Cricetulus griseus: one gene and its partner. The protein of the gene in region 2 interacts with the protein of the main gene of each other region in a pairwise test. Links are inferred from orthologs where the notes say so. Each region holds a gene or a part of one and is shown on either strand. Other genes may lie near its edges. The genes, in order: Rnf144b and Ube2u.

Region 1 (3,833 bases), on a different chromosome or scaffold from region 2:
TCCTACAATGCGTGACGTGGCATACATAAACAGAACCGAGATAAACGGCCGTGCTCACAGCTTGTATAAAAGATTCCAGCTCTGTGTGGCAATAAAACACTCCTTTAAAAAGTTAGCCTCTGTATTTTGTCACTAACTCCCTAGTATGCAATACTTAAGAGTCCAGATGCTAAGACATAATTCAGCAGGGCAGAAGGGAAGGCGACAGCATGCATCCATACCTCTGTTTCTTGCAGGGTCCCGTGTTTTATGCACACCATGTCAGGACAAGTGATGGGAGACCCACATCCTTCTCGGATTGACAGCATCATATACTGTCGCAGGCACTATAAGAAGGGGGAAAGAAGCAGATATTTTAAACATCACATCCACTACAGTAGCGCAAAGGTTACATAAGAGAGCATCCACAGCGTCTTCCTAAATTGGCTGTCCTGGGGTTCCTGTACTCAGGAAACATAAGTTATCACAAGTGTGGGTACTAAAGAGCCATCACTTTGGAAAGAATGCAGAGCCAGAAGATTAATCACAGATGACTTCATTTTAAGCGTTTTTTCAAGTCAGACTCCCACGTGCTCACTCAGTTTGTCTGCCTTAGACTGGGAAAAGAAGAAGCACTTTCGAATCCACAGCAAAAGCCTCCATGCTTAGTTTCTTTTCAAACCCGATTTGATTTCCCAATTCTAGTTTGTTTGTTTGTTTGTTTGTTTTAATTTTGTATGTATTATTTTATTTTATGTGTATGAATGTTTTTCATGTGTGTGTGTGTGTGTGTGTGTGTGTGTGTGTGTGTGTGTGTGTATGTGACACAGAGGTCAGAAGGGGGCATCAGATCCTCCAGAGCTGGAAATATGGATGGTTAATGAACCACCACGAGGGTGCTCAGAACTGACCCCAATCCTCTGCAATCCTCTTAACCATCCCCCCATTTCCCTAGCACCCCCAATTCTGTTTTTAATCTAGTGAACCTCTCTTGTAAGTTTACCTGAAAGTAGAATGACCCTCACTCTGGGATCCCGGACCTAAGATACCCAAACAGAATCAAAATACTGATAAGGACTGAGTTATACAGGAAAAAGTCAGGTGGCTTCCTGCTGGCTTCGGATAGCAAAGACAACTTGAAAGAACAGGCCATCCCAAAAACAGAAGCCTTACTGGATGCCACCATGTTGACAAGGGTTTTGATGTGTTTTGTTATTGTGTTTTGCTTTCTTTTGTTTGTTTTGTTTTTGGACATAGGGTTTCACTATGTAGCCCAGGAAGAACTAGAACTTTCCGTCCACCTGCCTCAGCCTTCCAAACTGCATGTCCCACCAGGTCCTCTTGAAGAGCTTGGGACAGGAAAATTAAAGAATGAGTTCCAGGACAGCCAGAACTGTTACACAGAGAAACTCTGTCTTACAAAAGACAAAAAAACAAAGAATCAGTGCTGTGCATCATTACATAAACCATTAAATCAGAGTCTGTGGTCAGAATCTAGCACAGAATCGTGAAATCTATGACTTTTCCTGACCTCTTAAAATTAGTTTTCTTCATGTGAAGACGGAACCCAAGCAGCACTGTTATATTTCATTTAAAATCGTGTATTTTTCTAACTGAAATGACAAACCATACACTGTCACACAAAGGCTGCCATCCCAGGGGACCTTGCAAAGGGCTGCCTACCACTCTGCTTCTAGAGATTCCCCTGTCTCCCTTCAGCCACACGGTTCCAATACTACTGCCTTTACCCTCTCCTGCCAGCAGCCACTCACAGAAACTGAGGAAAACAGGCTCTAAAAATATGTGCTGCCCAGGCTCAAGGGGAAAGTATATGAGAAAAACAAAGTGATACTGTGTGACAAACTTCAGAGCATAGCAGCTGAGGTGTACACCTGCTGACAGTGGCAAATGACTCTACCTAGGACCCAGATGCATGTCCTCATCATTTGTAAACTAGGGAAGATAATGTCTGTTTAGTTACAGGGTTTCATGTGTGCACACACAGAGAGAGACAGACACACACACACACCCCTAAAACGAGGCCTTTGTAAGTTTCTGAATTGCTTCATCTTAGACCAGTCCACCCTTTGGAGTTCTGACATCTCCTTTCCAGACTCTCTCCAAGGAACCGGTTAAACCACCTGGAGCAGAGACGCTGCCCAGACAGAAAAGGTGTGTGAGCCAGAACATTCCACCAGCCTGTAGACAAGCTTCTCCTCAGGACTCTTTGGGGTACAGAGAAAGCTTAATGTTGCATAGTAACTAGAGAGCTATCACTCAAGTTTAATAGGCAAAAATGATTACTTAAACTTACATTGCAAATTTGTACAGTTGAACCATCAAGGTTCCCCACTGGCTTATAGTAGATGTTCCATTTGCTAATGCCAGGTCCATAGGTGTTTTGCAAACCATAATATGTCAACTAATGAATTTAGAAGATTTCCACACAAGCATTCCCATGTCTCCAAAAAATACAGTGTGCTGCAATTTTTGGAGCAAGGTTGGAGCTGTATGCACAGTTGGACCACAGGTGTTGAGTGCATTCTTTTTATTCTGAGACACTTTTTTGTTTGAGATGCTGAAGCATTAGTGTAGGTGGTTAAGCAGCTGGGAGCTCAGGCACATGACAGGCCATCAGTGTGGCCATGCACTTTACCCAAAGTAGAGGAAGAACAGTTAGTCCCAGCCACTGCTCCGTATCACATTTTTCAAGTGCCTGTGTTCATGGTTTCCATTAGCTTTCACTGAAAAATACCATCTCAAACCTTCTCCTCATCCCTTCAGCTGGCTAAAGAAGCACAAAAGAATCAAAAATATTTTACAAGAACTAAACAAGTCAAACTCTGGTAAAAAACTAACAATTCTGGAGAAAAAAAAAACCTGGCACCTAGCTTACACAGAAAGAGAAACACACAAAACTACCACCATTTGCTACGTTTAACAATTGCATGTCATTAAACTTGAGCAGTGTACAGATCTTGCAGTTTTCTATATGACTGACAAAGTCTAAGGTGATGTTTCAAAAACATTTCAAAAGCCCAGATGACTAATAAAAGGGAGAATTGGTCTTTTTGTGTCGTTACCTTTCATTTAAATGGCTTGAAGGAGCATAGATAAATACTTGAAGACCTTAAAGGTCATAAATAAAACCAAGACTCCTCACCTCACTCACTCTACAGCCCACAAGGATTTCAATTCGATGTAGTCAAGCATTCAACCACCAAACACATGGCAAGCCAGGTGATTCGTATTGTTCCTTCCAACTCAGTCTATGAGTTATGTCAATGGAATTTTTCAAGGAAGGGTTTTTTTCAAGGTTGTTGTTCACCCTATGTCAAAGGACATGGCGTTCTTCATAAGATGTTCTCAACAGTCTTAGAGACATGGCGAAAAAGCTTGTAATGTACCCATCTAAGAACAAGCTACGGGCATAGACAGATAGGCAGAAAATAGCTGGATAGATGACAGATAATTGATAGATGATAGATGGATAATTGATAGGTGATCGATTGTTGATAGATGATTAATGGATTATAGATGATAGGCAGATGATAGATAGACAGATAGATAATACATGAATGATAGGTAGACAGTCAATATATAATTGACTGATAGACTGATTGATGGATGATAGGTAGATAGGGGATATATAGATGATTGATAGACCAATTAATGGATGATAAATTTCTGGTTTTGTGTGTCCTTTACTATACTGCTTGTTTCACTCAGAGCTTCCATCTGTACCTTGTCAGAAAGGCCTTCTCAGCTAAGACCAATTCCCTACCTCTATGGGTCTCTTTCCATGGTGTATTTCCTTATCTACTTGTATTTCCTCATCTATCTTGTGTTCTGAA
Region 2 (3,833 bases):
ATGTTAAACCTTGTGTGATGAATAAGTAGGAGCATTAAATGTGTTAAACCATTAAGTTAGGCATGGTGGTGCATGCCTGCCATCCCAGCACTCAGAAGGTGGAGGCAGAATAATCAGGAGTTCAAGGCCAGGCTGGGGCTACATTGTGAGGCCCATCTTAAATAGAATCTCAGAGAGAGAGAGAGAGAGCATTAAGATAACTGTATTCTTACCTGTAGAGCAAGTAAGATGCTGCTTATTGTATAATTTGTGTTCCAGTTGTCACGGCTGTCCAAAAAGTCTATACTGGGCTGACCGGTATATGGGTCTACTGTATTAAAACAATGTATTAATTTTTAGCATTCGAAACTTATAAAGCATCATAGTGACACATCAAGAAAATTATTTCATCTACTCTTCCTTTTTTCCTATTTCATATAATGATAATCACTGCGTGGATCTCCAGTGCCCGCCAGCTTTAGTTGATTATAGGCTCCGGTTGCAGCAATTCGATAATATGAATTTCAAATATAGTATTTTTTTGAGGCTTGTGAGTGTGTATGTGTGTGATTTACATGTGCATGTGTGATGATTTGAAGTATATGGGAGAGGCTTCAGCAAGGCCATGGGCTAAGTGTACTGGGAATGTGCATGCCTGTGAATTCCCAGAAGCCCGAGGAGGAGGCCAGGTACCCTGCTCTGTTTGTCTCTATCGTACTTCTTTGAGAAAGGGTCTCTCATTGACACTGGTGGTTAGCAAGCCCTCGAAATCCTCTCGCTTGGAGATCCCCTCTCCCCTCACAGTGCTGGTGTTCTAGGTGTGGGTGGCTGTGGCTGTGGTTTTATATGGGTGCATAGGATTTGAAATCAGGTCCTTATGCTTGCACAAGCCATCTGTCCAGCTTCAAAACTAATTTACTCACAAAATAATAGTGGACATTGGAGGGGAAAAGTATATAAGAAAATATAAAGTAAAACATGAATGTCCCCTGCCTAGCAATTCTGTTCTTAAGTCACATTGATCTACAAACTTCCCTCTGTATACCTGTAAGTGCTCATCTCTTTATCACATGAAAGGACACTTTTACATTGTGTTTTCAAGGTTTTTTTTTTTCATTTAAAATAAATGTGCAGCATATTTCTAGTTGTATTTATTTATTAAAACTGACTTAAATTCATCTGTCTCTGTGTGTGTACGCATGTGCACAGACACCTGTACTCCAGTATATTCCGAGAGGTCACAGGACGTGTGGGAGTTGGGGATTGTCAGGCTGCTCAACTAGTGCCCTTCCCTGCTGGATCACTTTGCTGGTCCAGATAGTTTATTAAAAAGATAGGTAAGCACCTACTATGTGCCAAGCAATAACGATTCTAGGGACACTTGCAGTGACAAAGAAAATCTAGTTTTCATGAGTCTTCCTTTTTCTATACAGGGGAAAAATATATTATATAGAAAATTTTACTTAAAAACTTCCTGTGTAAAAAAATTCCTTTGTCAGCAGATATTGTTTGTATGCATAGGTTTGAAATTCATGGGTTCAAGTGAGGTTCAGAAATATTCAGAAAAAAAAACAGCATTCATATTGAACTTGTACAAACATTTTTCTTGTCAATATTTCTGAGACAATGTAGTAATCAACCATGCACATAGCATTTTCATTGTTAAGTAACCCAGTGATGATTTGAAGTATATGGGAGAGGCTGCAGCAAGGCCATGGGCTAAGTGTACTGGGAATGGGCATCCTTCAATATAACATACTCTTGTGCTACTATGTCTACAGAATAATATATAAGCCTGGAATATATATATATATATATATATATATATATATATATATATATGTGTGTGTGTGTGTGTGTGTGTGTGTGTGTGTGTGTGTGTGTGTGATATAGCTGATTAGAAATTTTCAAATCACTTCCCTAAAAGGTCACCATTATGTCAAGGATTGATGTCTGCTCAAGCTCACTAAAAATGAGTTTTGATGTCTTTTAAAATTTTGTAAACAGAAGTGATGAATCACAATATCTTATGTTTTGATATGCATCTATTTTCTTCATAATGAGATTGTGGTGTTGTGTTCTGTCTATCCAGTGTTTGTTCATGGATTTCACACTGTTTTCTGGTAGTTCACAAGGGTTCTTTTTTTTTTTTCCTATTTTTTTTATTTGAATTAGAAACAAGATTGTTTTTCATGTCAATCCCGGTTCCCTCTCCCTTCCCTCTTCTCTTGCCATGCCCCCCCCCCCCACTAAAACCCTACCTATATCACATACCCTTTCTGCTCCCCAGGGAGGGTGGAGGCCTTCCATAGGGGCTCTACAGAGTCTGTCATATCCTTTGGGACAGGGCCTAGGCCCATCCCCTTGTCACAGGGTTCTTTATGTGGTGTAGATATTCTATCCTGTACCATGAGTGGTCCCTGAGTTTGCATAATGCAGTTTTATTATTTTCTTAGTTTGTTTATAATGTGCACAGCTACAAAGGTTTTTAAAAGCTTATAGTTTAGACATCATAGTTTTCAGTAGTTTCAGGGGCTCCTATAGAAGCCCACAAACAGTTGCATTACCTTGTCTACTGTTTTAGAATGCAATTAAAGAAAATGCCATGCTTCAGGCAACCACTTTGCACAGAACTCAGCAGAGCAATCTGACATACTTTTCCCCAAAGATTAAGTTGTCTCGTATATTGTTTTATAAGATGAAAAATTAGATTCAACTTAAATAATACATGATGTGTGGATATGTGTACTATCCAGCCATTTAACATGGTCTTTTACAGAATGTATAGAAATGCAGGACGGGGCTGGGGAGATAGCTTCTCTGTCAAGAGCACTGCTGAGCTTGGTTCGTAGCACTCACACTGGGTGGTGCATAATGACCTGTAACACCAGCCCCGGAGGATCCAAAACTCTCTTCTGACCTCTATGGGCACCACACTCATGTGCACACCCACCACCCCTTCACATACATACATAATTAAAGCTAGGAAGTTTAAAAATGCATTTAAAGTAAAGCTAGATAAAACTGTATATCACATCTCAACTGTGGAAAAATTTGCACACAGAAAAATGAGGATCTATGTGGTAAAATATTGAAAATGATTTCACTATAGGATTCAAAGGGATTGTTATTTTTTTCTGCTTTTTAAAGTTTTTCCAATGAGTATTCTTACTTTAATTGTAAGTTGTTAAAGGGGAACATGGTTATTAAACACCCTCCCAAAAGATTGCATAGACAAAGCCACAATAACACAATAATAAGAGAGTCTCACTTAGTCCTTACCATTTGGATGAAAAGGAATTGTTAGAAATTTCACAACTGGAGGAACAAGGTTGTACTCTGGTGTAAAATCTATTGTCAGGTGGAAGACAAACCCTGTAATATAAAAATGAATAATGCCATTAAAGTGTTATGGTTAGCTCTAGCCTGATCGAACACTGGAGGTTTTTCTATGATTAAACTTATCCATTATTTTCTTGTTTTTTCCTTCAATATAAATTTCTTCTTTAAATATATAGTGTGTGTGTGTGTGTGTGTGTGTGTGTGTGTGTGTGTGTGTCTGTGCATGTGCATGTAGGTTACAGAACAACATGCCAAAGTTAGTTCTTGCCTTCTACTACATGGGTTCTGGGATTTGAACTTGTGTCTTTAGGCTTGGCAGCAAATGCTCTTACCTGCTGAGTCATCTCACCAGCTGCTTCCCTGTGATTTTCTTAAATTCCTTCACTGTGCACAGGCCATTCTTTGTTGTGAACCAGACCCTTTGCCACATTACTGGCCTCGGTTTTTGTTTCTTTCTCCCCAGTTCTATCCACTCACCATCTCTGTCTCCTGCACACTGCCTCCTCTCATGT

The links.
Region 1: the proteins of Ube2u (region 2) and Rnf144b interact in a two-hybrid assay, tested with the Homo sapiens proteins (2 studies listed by BioGRID and IntAct). The link is inferred for Cricetulus griseus from reciprocal best matches to the Homo sapiens genes UBE2U and RNF144B.

The regions. Positions count from the first base shown.
Region 1 is NC_048596.1:266,950,116-266,953,948, reverse strand, and holds part of Rnf144b (E3 ubiquitin-protein ligase RNF144B), read right to left. Parts: intron 327-3,833; coding exon 222-326; intron 1-221.
Region 2 is NC_048595.1:49,097,005-49,100,837, forward strand, and holds part of Ube2u (ubiquitin-conjugating enzyme E2 U), read right to left. Parts: intron 3,355-3,833; coding exon 3,262-3,354; intron 311-3,261; coding exon 213-310; intron 1-212. UniProt on the Homo sapiens protein: Catalyzes the covalent attachment of ubiquitin to other proteins.